Linked DNA regions of Mus musculus. The protein of the gene in region 1 purifies or fractionates together with the protein of each later gene. This does not show direct contact. Links are inferred from orthologs where the notes say so. Each region holds a gene or a part of one and is shown on either strand. Other genes may lie near its edges.

Region 1 (2,754 bases):
CACTGAACTCTGCCCCCAGTTTGTCTTACTTCTATCACACAGTAGGGAGGTTGAGGACAACTGGGTTACAAGAGGTTCCCTCCACCCTTCAGCAGGGCTAAACTGCTTGGCCCCATTTATATCCCCTCCTCTCAAACTGCTCCTGAATAAGTCCACCCACTGTGTAGCCTTGGCTGGCCTGGAACTCCCTGTGTAGATCAGGCTAGCCTTGAACTCACACAGATCTATCTGCTTCTGCCTCTTTAAGTATTGGGATTAAAGGGGTGCCACCACACCAGGCCCTGCTCTAGATCTGGTTGAGAAGTGACAAGTCCCTGTATGGCCTCAGGCAAGTTACTTTGCACCCGGTCATCAGTTCTTGGTTATCTCCTCAGTTCCCCAGAGCAGAGAATGCATTTGGTCATGTCCTATAAGCACCGTTTGTGCAGTTACAGGGCTTTATCTTAGTCCAGCAGTCCCCAGAATCCACTGCCCTCTCCCTTCTTAAGGCATATCAGGATAGTTGTCAGTCTCGCAGGCATACCACCTCATCTTCCCAGTCAAGCTGAGATCTCACCCTCCAACTGACATCCCATAAAAACATTCAAAAAAAAAAAAAAAACCTCCTAAGGACTTACAATATTTTAATAAAAAGTTCAAGTTCTTCCAATCCCCCATCATCCCCCATTCCGATGTGGGAAGGAGAGGAAGCCTCCCCGACACCCCAGTAGCACCAGGGATAGCACCGTGAAAAAGATGAGGTCACACCTGGCCTCCCTGAGACCCGTGGGGCAGAGCCAAGGATGTGCCCCTGGGTACCACCCACCTCATCTGACCGCCCCTACCTCCATCAACTGTAGAGCTGAGAGCCAACTCACTCCCCACTGTGGGAGCAGCTCAGGGGAAGGCAAACCCCCAAGTCAATTCCACCCCCTGAGGCCTGGCCTTCTAGAGAGTCGCCATGGAGTGCCCCCCTCCCTTATGGCTTTGCTCCCTGGGAGGGAGAGGCTGAGGGAGGAGGTTGACTCCTATAGTCCTGAGGTGGGGGCAGGGATGGGTACAGCAAATGGCCAGGGCTCCCTGCTGGGTTGGGGCTGGCTCAGGGGTCAGCAATCATAGAACAAGGATCAGCTCTCTAGGGATGTCCCAAACAACACACTACCAGGATCAGACCTGGGTCAGCTCTCCTTCCCTTCTGGAGGGCTCCAAGATAGACTCTGCACTCCATTCCGCTCCCTGTAAGCAGCCCATCATGGCTCACCACTATTGATGTCCAGATCAATAGAACCATGACTGACCACTAGCCGGAGGCGCTTAGGTGGGCAGAACGGAGCAAAGGCAAGGGCCTGCTTAGGGATGAAATCAGGAGTGGGGACAGGACCTGGGTTCCCAGCAGGGGCAGGAGCAGCTGGCAGGGCTGGGGCTAGGCGGGTAAGTTCCACACGCCCCACAGAAGGTAGCCCATAGCGCCGGGCCCAGTACCAGTCCTGTTGTGGGGTCCAGCGAGTCTGGGGGCGCAGGTGTAGGGTCACCATGGCCTCAGCACGTAGCTGGCAGTGGGGACCACAGCCTCCCCATCGGTGCAGGGGGACACAGGCAGTGCGGAGGACAGGAGGCAATGAAGCCTGGCGGATCCTGGGGCGGCGGCGGCGGTGGCGCTTCCTGGGAGGTACTATGGGCTGGGGTTGAGGCGCCCGCTGGAGCCAAAGGGGCAAGTAATCCATGTGGGGGCTGGCAGGCAGCAGGCATGAGGGCTGGCAGGCAGCTGTAGAGGTCGGAGGAGACAGAAAAAGTGAAAGCCTGTCAACAGGACCTGTGCAGCTCTTCCTCTGGACAGGTCAGAAAAAGTGACCCAAAGGCTAGAGAACAGGCACGCTCACCACAGAATGGGTCAGGGCGCAGTGGGGACAGGTGGGAGCAGGCCCACCGGCTCATCAGGCTCTGCTGGCTGCTGACCAAGCCCTGCTGCAGACGCCTCTTTGTCTCTCGGAGCTCATACTTGTCTAGGGGCTTTGGTCGCAGCTCAGGCTCCCTGGGCTGAAGTCTGAAAGCTCCCTCGCCTTTCCTGCAGGAACAGAAAAGGGCAAAGGCATGTGCTGGGCCAGACACACTTTAGAGTGAATCCTGAGGATGCACTGCAGCCCAGCAACCCTTGACGTCCCAGGGCAGGCTGCCACACCCTGCCCACAAGGTCCGTGCCTACCTCTCACAGGTATAGCATTCACAGTGCTCATTCTTCTCGCCGAAGAAGCCCTCACCATAGAAGCAAGTCACTTCATCCCCTGGCTCAATGTCCCGTAGCACCTTCACACAGGCAGTATTCCCATCTGAGGGCACAAACTGAGGCCATGCCCCCTTCAGCACCCTAGCCTGGAGCGCAGGGCAGGAGCTGTCCAGCTCCACAACCTGGCCAGGCACCCAGGTCCAAGGGTTCTGTAATGAGTTACCCCACCATTTATTGTTAGCTACTCTGGCTGCAGCCTGCTCTCCACAGAGCCCCTTAAGAGCTTGCCTTCTGTGTCTACCCCTCCCTGTCAGCCAGTGAGCTAACCTGACCTCCAGGCGGGATGCACTGGCACTCCTTGCCTTCTTCCTCTGACTTGTGGACAAGTGCCAAGCTGTGTCCCCAGCAGAGTCCTTCAAGAGCCACTGCTCTTTGCCTTTCTGCCTCTGTGGCTATTTCCCATTCTCCCAAGGCTTGTGTCCACTTGGCAGCCAGATTCCCCTGTCCTCCAGCCCAGCATTTAGGATCACTCATCCCGAGGCTACCCTATA
Region 2 (4,570 bases), on another chromosome or scaffold:
TATTTATATGCCCAAGCATTTCACCTCCACAACAGTGCTATGCACCCTTTAACATTTTTGAGACAGTAGCCCAGTCTAGTCTTTAACTTGCAGTGATTTTTCCTGATTCAGCTTCTCCCAGTGCTGGAATTATAGGTATGCACCACCATGTGTAACTACAGATGCTACTTAAAAATTTTTTAAAGGAATCACAAAAATAACCCCCTATCAAATGCCTAGTCCCTCTAACCATCACCAAGTGAAGGATCACGCAGGAAAAAAAAAATCACCAGCAGCACCTCAGAACCAGGATACTCAGTCCATCAGCATCCAGGGCCATACCCACACTCACAGCATCTCCACAGTTTACCAGATGATTCATGCTTATCACTGTATTGGGTCATCTAAGAGTGACCATCAGGGCTTCTGATCACAGAATCTAGTCCACTTTGCAGACCAGTTGAAGTCATGCACTATATGAGATAGAAATACCCTCTTGCTCATTTTGGTCAGAAATTCAAGGATAAAAACCCATGTTTTGTTAATGCACACCTCCATATGATTGAGATCAATGTGTCCTAATTAATGTAGAAACCACAACTGTAAATTTCACTCTTTTGACATGAATCTTTTTCTAGACAGGGTCTTGGATGCAGCCCCGACTACCCAGAATTTTGGAATCCAGGCTAGCCTCAAACTCAAGGCAATCTGCTTGCTTCAGCTTCTCACAGGCTGGATCACAAACATACACCTTCAGACCCATTTTTTTTTCCTCCCTCCGTTTTTGGTTTCTCTGTGTAGCCCTGGGTGTCCGTGGACTCGCTGTGTAGATCTATCTACCAGCCTCTGTCTTGGAGTACTGGGATTAAAGTTGTGGGCTACCACTGCCTGGCTGACCCAGTTTTATTTATTTTAAATATAACTTGACAAAAATAAATTTGTCTAACTTACTAGAAATCCCAAGAAAACTAACACTGGATTTAGCAACAGTCAGAAATCGCTGAAAAGAAACAGAATTGATCTAACAGTCTTAGATCACTCCTAGACAGTTTGTAATTCTTGCTCATGGCAACGTGAGCTCTATCTAACTCACTCTCTGTGCACTAATGAATGCTCAGTGTCTCCAGAACAGCACAGCTTCCAGGGTAATCATGCCAACCCACAAGACTTTTATAGAGCTGTCCACGACTCTTCCCCCATTCAGCTCATTAACAATATGATGGAGCTCCTGTGTGGAAATCAAGGCACACTCTGGTAGAAACTTGTTTTTTCTTTCCACTTTTCCTTGGGCTCTGAAGATTGAGCTGTTTTATAACCCACAAACATGCATTTTTTACCTCAAAAGCATCCAGCAAAAACTGTACAACGCTTTTTCAAAAAAATGTATTGTGATCCTCCTTAAGAAAAGCCTTACTTAGTGTTAATTCCTTTTTCTTTAGAATGCTGGTAAATACAAGGACTTAGGTAGGCTGGCTTCTAACAGCAATTCACCCACTTATGATGGGATTAAAGGAAGGCACAACCATGTCCACCACAGGTTCTAGCTCCCCCACCCACACGCCCAGAGAGGGTTTTTCTGTGTAGCTCTGACTATTCTGGAATTCACACTGCAGACCAGGCTGGTCTCGAACTCAGAGATCCACCACCACATGGTTTCTTAATTGTAATTTTAAAGAAAAAAAAAAATCCTTCAGTTAAGATTCTTATGTTCTAGGTTTTCACAAACTTACCAATGTAGTTTTATTGGAGGCCATTTTTTAAATTTAATCGGAGACTTGAAGAGCTATTGCAAGAAAAAAAATGTAGGACAGTTAAAATTTCATGACACACAAAAGGCAGCTACAAGTTTTGTGTGGATTTCAACATGTAAATTTCGGGTAAAAATGCAGGAAAACAGTTGAGTTCCCGTGTTATTAGTATGTTACTAATAATTTCAGTATGTTAGTGAAAATAATCTTACTAAAACACTGGTACCTCAGACAACTTTACATGGTGAGGATTGTTACTTTCCCAATCCATATAGAATTTTAACAATTTTAGTGTTTATTTTGGATGAAAGGAAATGACTATCTTTTGTTAGCAAATTACCATAAGATCTTTTTCTTTAGATTTCTGAATACTCCAAGGAGCTCATATAATTCCATCCTTATTTTTTCAGAGGCCCTCCCTGTTCAATCACGGTATAAAAAAAGGAACACATTAAGATGTCCCAGTCCTATTTTCTGGCTTTTTTTTTCCGGGGGTGGTGGTGCGGTAATCACTCTCTATAGTCCAGTCTGGGCTTCAACGCCTGGCAATCCCCAGCCTCAAGCTCCCAAGTACTGTCCTGATAAGGATAGAAGGAGTCGACCTCCTTCACGCTCCCCTCCGAGGAGGGCTCCTTCCCAGCTCCATTCCCCGGTCGGGAGCCCGTCCCCCACCCGAGAGCGCGGGCCTCGTGGTCAGCGCCTCCGCGGGGAGAAACAAAGGCGGCGGCGGGGGCTCAAGGGCACTGCGCCACGGGCCCGCGCCTCCCCCATCCGGCGGCGGCCACGTAGCCGGGAGCGCGCCGCAGCCCGGAGCCTCGGGCCTCGCAGCTGCAGAGCCTGAACCGCTCTCTCCCTGCGGGCCTGCGACGAGGCTGGGGGAGGGGAGGCCCGCGCTTTGTCTGGAGTCTCGGTAGCTGTCATCCGGCTCCCACCCTCATGCACAATTGTCCCATCTCCCCCACGCACCGGCGCGGCGCCCGCCTCAGCGAGGCCCCAGCCGGTTTCCCGCAGCCCGCGGCCCACGGGGCTCGCAGCCTCCCCGCAAGCTCGGACGCACGGAGCATCCTAAACCCCACCACACGCAAGATCGAAAAAAAGCAAAGGCACGAACTTCACCGCTCCGATGCTCAGGGCCGCGGATCCTGCAGAGTCTCCCGCCTGCGCGCTTCGGTTCAGCCACATCCGAGGGGAGGGGGCGCGGGCAGCTCCGCCGGGGGGGAGGGGGAGCACCGCCCACGCCCTGGCCGCGCGGGGCCCGCCGGGAACGCGTCCTGCGGGGGGCGGCGCGCGCAATGCTCACCGTCCGCGGCGTGGCGCCCAGGGGGTCTCCTGGCTGGGGGGAGGGGGGGGAAGGCGGGCAGGAAGGACCGCGGAGGCCTCTCTGCGTCTCGGAGCGCGCCAAAGCGGGGCTCCACCCACCTCCTTGCCCGGATCTTGAAGGCCGGGGAGATAAACAGCGGGGTTCTTTAAGCACCACCTCTCACTAGGCGCGGGATCCCAAGGCTTGTGGCATCCGGGGTGGTACTTGGACTAAAAGTCCTTCTGGGAGGGACCGAGTGAGAACCCCTTTGGGACGTGTAGAAATATTTGTGTGGTTCGAGAATATTTGTGCGGACGGGCTTGGCAAAGGCGTAGCTGCAGAGAGCACGCTTGGGTGGAGAGGGCCGCACGCCCCAGCGCCGGCCTAAGCCCCTCCCGACGGCGTTATTTCAAACTGCGCGACCGTTTCTCCGCTCCCTACGCGGAGGTGGGGGCCGGACCTAGTTCCGGACGTAGTAACACGCCGAGCGCGAGCCTTCCGCAATTCACGGAACACAGTTGCGCAAGTGATGTAAAGCAGTCCCGCTGTACCTAAAGGGGGAGTGTCACGTACTTGGCGTAAGGAGAGTGTAGGCCCTTCCCGCCATTGGCGGCGGTTAGGGCGTTTACGTAACGGCGTGACGTAAGCGGAGACGCGTTAGTGGGGGGAAGGTTCTAGAAAAGCGGCGGTCTCGGCTCCAGCGGCAGTAGCAGCGGCGCCGGTCCCGTGTGCAGGAGCTCCTTTGCGGCCCAGTTTCTTGGCCATCGCCTGCTCTCCCCACAGCGCCAGGACGAGTCCCGTGCGCGTCCGTCCGCGGAGGTCTTTCTCATCTCGCTCGGCTGCGGGAAATCGGGCTGAAGCGACTGAGTCCGCGATGGAGGTAACGGGTTTGAAATCAATGAGTTATTAAAAATGGCATGGCGAGGCCGTAGGCACCGCAATGGAAACCGGCCACCCGCCTCCGTGGTCCGGCGGAGGGGATGCGGCCACTCGAGTGGCGGTTGGCCTTGGCGAGTTTCTGAGGGGTCGTTGGAGGAGGCCTCTGATTGTCCGACCGCCTTCCCCGCCCTCAGCCGCCCGGCGCCATTTCCCTCAGTTGGGGTGGGGGATGGGAAGTGCCCGCCGCGACCGGGCTGGACCGCTAAAGTAGCGCGTGAGCGGGCCATCGCTGGCCTTTCGATGTGCGCGGGCCTAGGGGCTCGGTTGTGTTCGCGGCGGAACGTTTCTGGGGCCCCCCCGGCTTCCCGGAGCGAGTCTGCGAAGCTTCCCCTCCCCCCTCTCCCGGGAACCGGATTTGGCGGCCGCCATTTTCCCGTCTCCTTCCTCGCCACGATTTTGCTTTCAACGCTTTAGGTTTACTAGTTTGGTTTTCTTTTTTCACCACTGCGTAGACGTGTTTAGCGATTTTCCTTTCTTTTGGAAGTCTTCATACCGTTTCGAGGTGGATTTAGCGTTTTGAGCTTGGGTCTTCAGCGTCCTGCGCACCTCGCTAAAGGCTCTCTGCCTTCCCCTCGACGAAATGGCGCCATTGCTTTCTGAAGCC

Evidence for each region.
Region 2: the proteins of Kmt5c (region 1) and Cbx3 purify together in Homo sapiens (affinity purification with western blotting; 3 studies listed by BioGRID and IntAct, with this or other methods). This does not show direct contact. The link is inferred for Mus musculus from reciprocal best matches to the Homo sapiens genes KMT5C and CBX3.

What each region holds. Positions count from the first base shown.
Region 1 is NC_000073.6:4,745,367-4,748,120, reverse strand, and holds the end of Kmt5c (histone-lysine N-methyltransferase KMT5C), read right to left. Parts: intron 2,320-2,754; coding exon 2,183-2,319; intron 2,045-2,182; coding exon 1,860-2,044; intron 1,745-1,859; coding exon 1,230-1,744; 3' UTR 607-1,229; downstream 1-606. UniProt on the Homo sapiens protein: Histone methyltransferase that specifically methylates monomethylated 'Lys-20' (H4K20me1) and dimethylated 'Lys-20' (H4K20me2) of histone H4 to produce respectively dimethylated 'Lys-20' (H4K20me2) and trimethylated 'Lys-20' (H4K20me3) and thus regulates transcription and maintenance of genome integrity.
Region 2 is NC_000072.6:51,469,008-51,473,577, reverse strand, and holds the start of Cbx3 (chromobox protein homolog 3), read right to left. Parts: upstream 2,963-4,570; 5' UTR 2,839-2,962; intron 2,327-2,838; exon of another isoform or gene 2,068-2,326; intron 1,763-2,067; 5' UTR 1,734-1,762; coding exon 1,710-1,733; intron 1-1,709. Other genes in the region: Hnrnpa2b1 (heterogeneous nuclear ribonucleoproteins A2/B1), read left to right, coding at 3,902-3,907.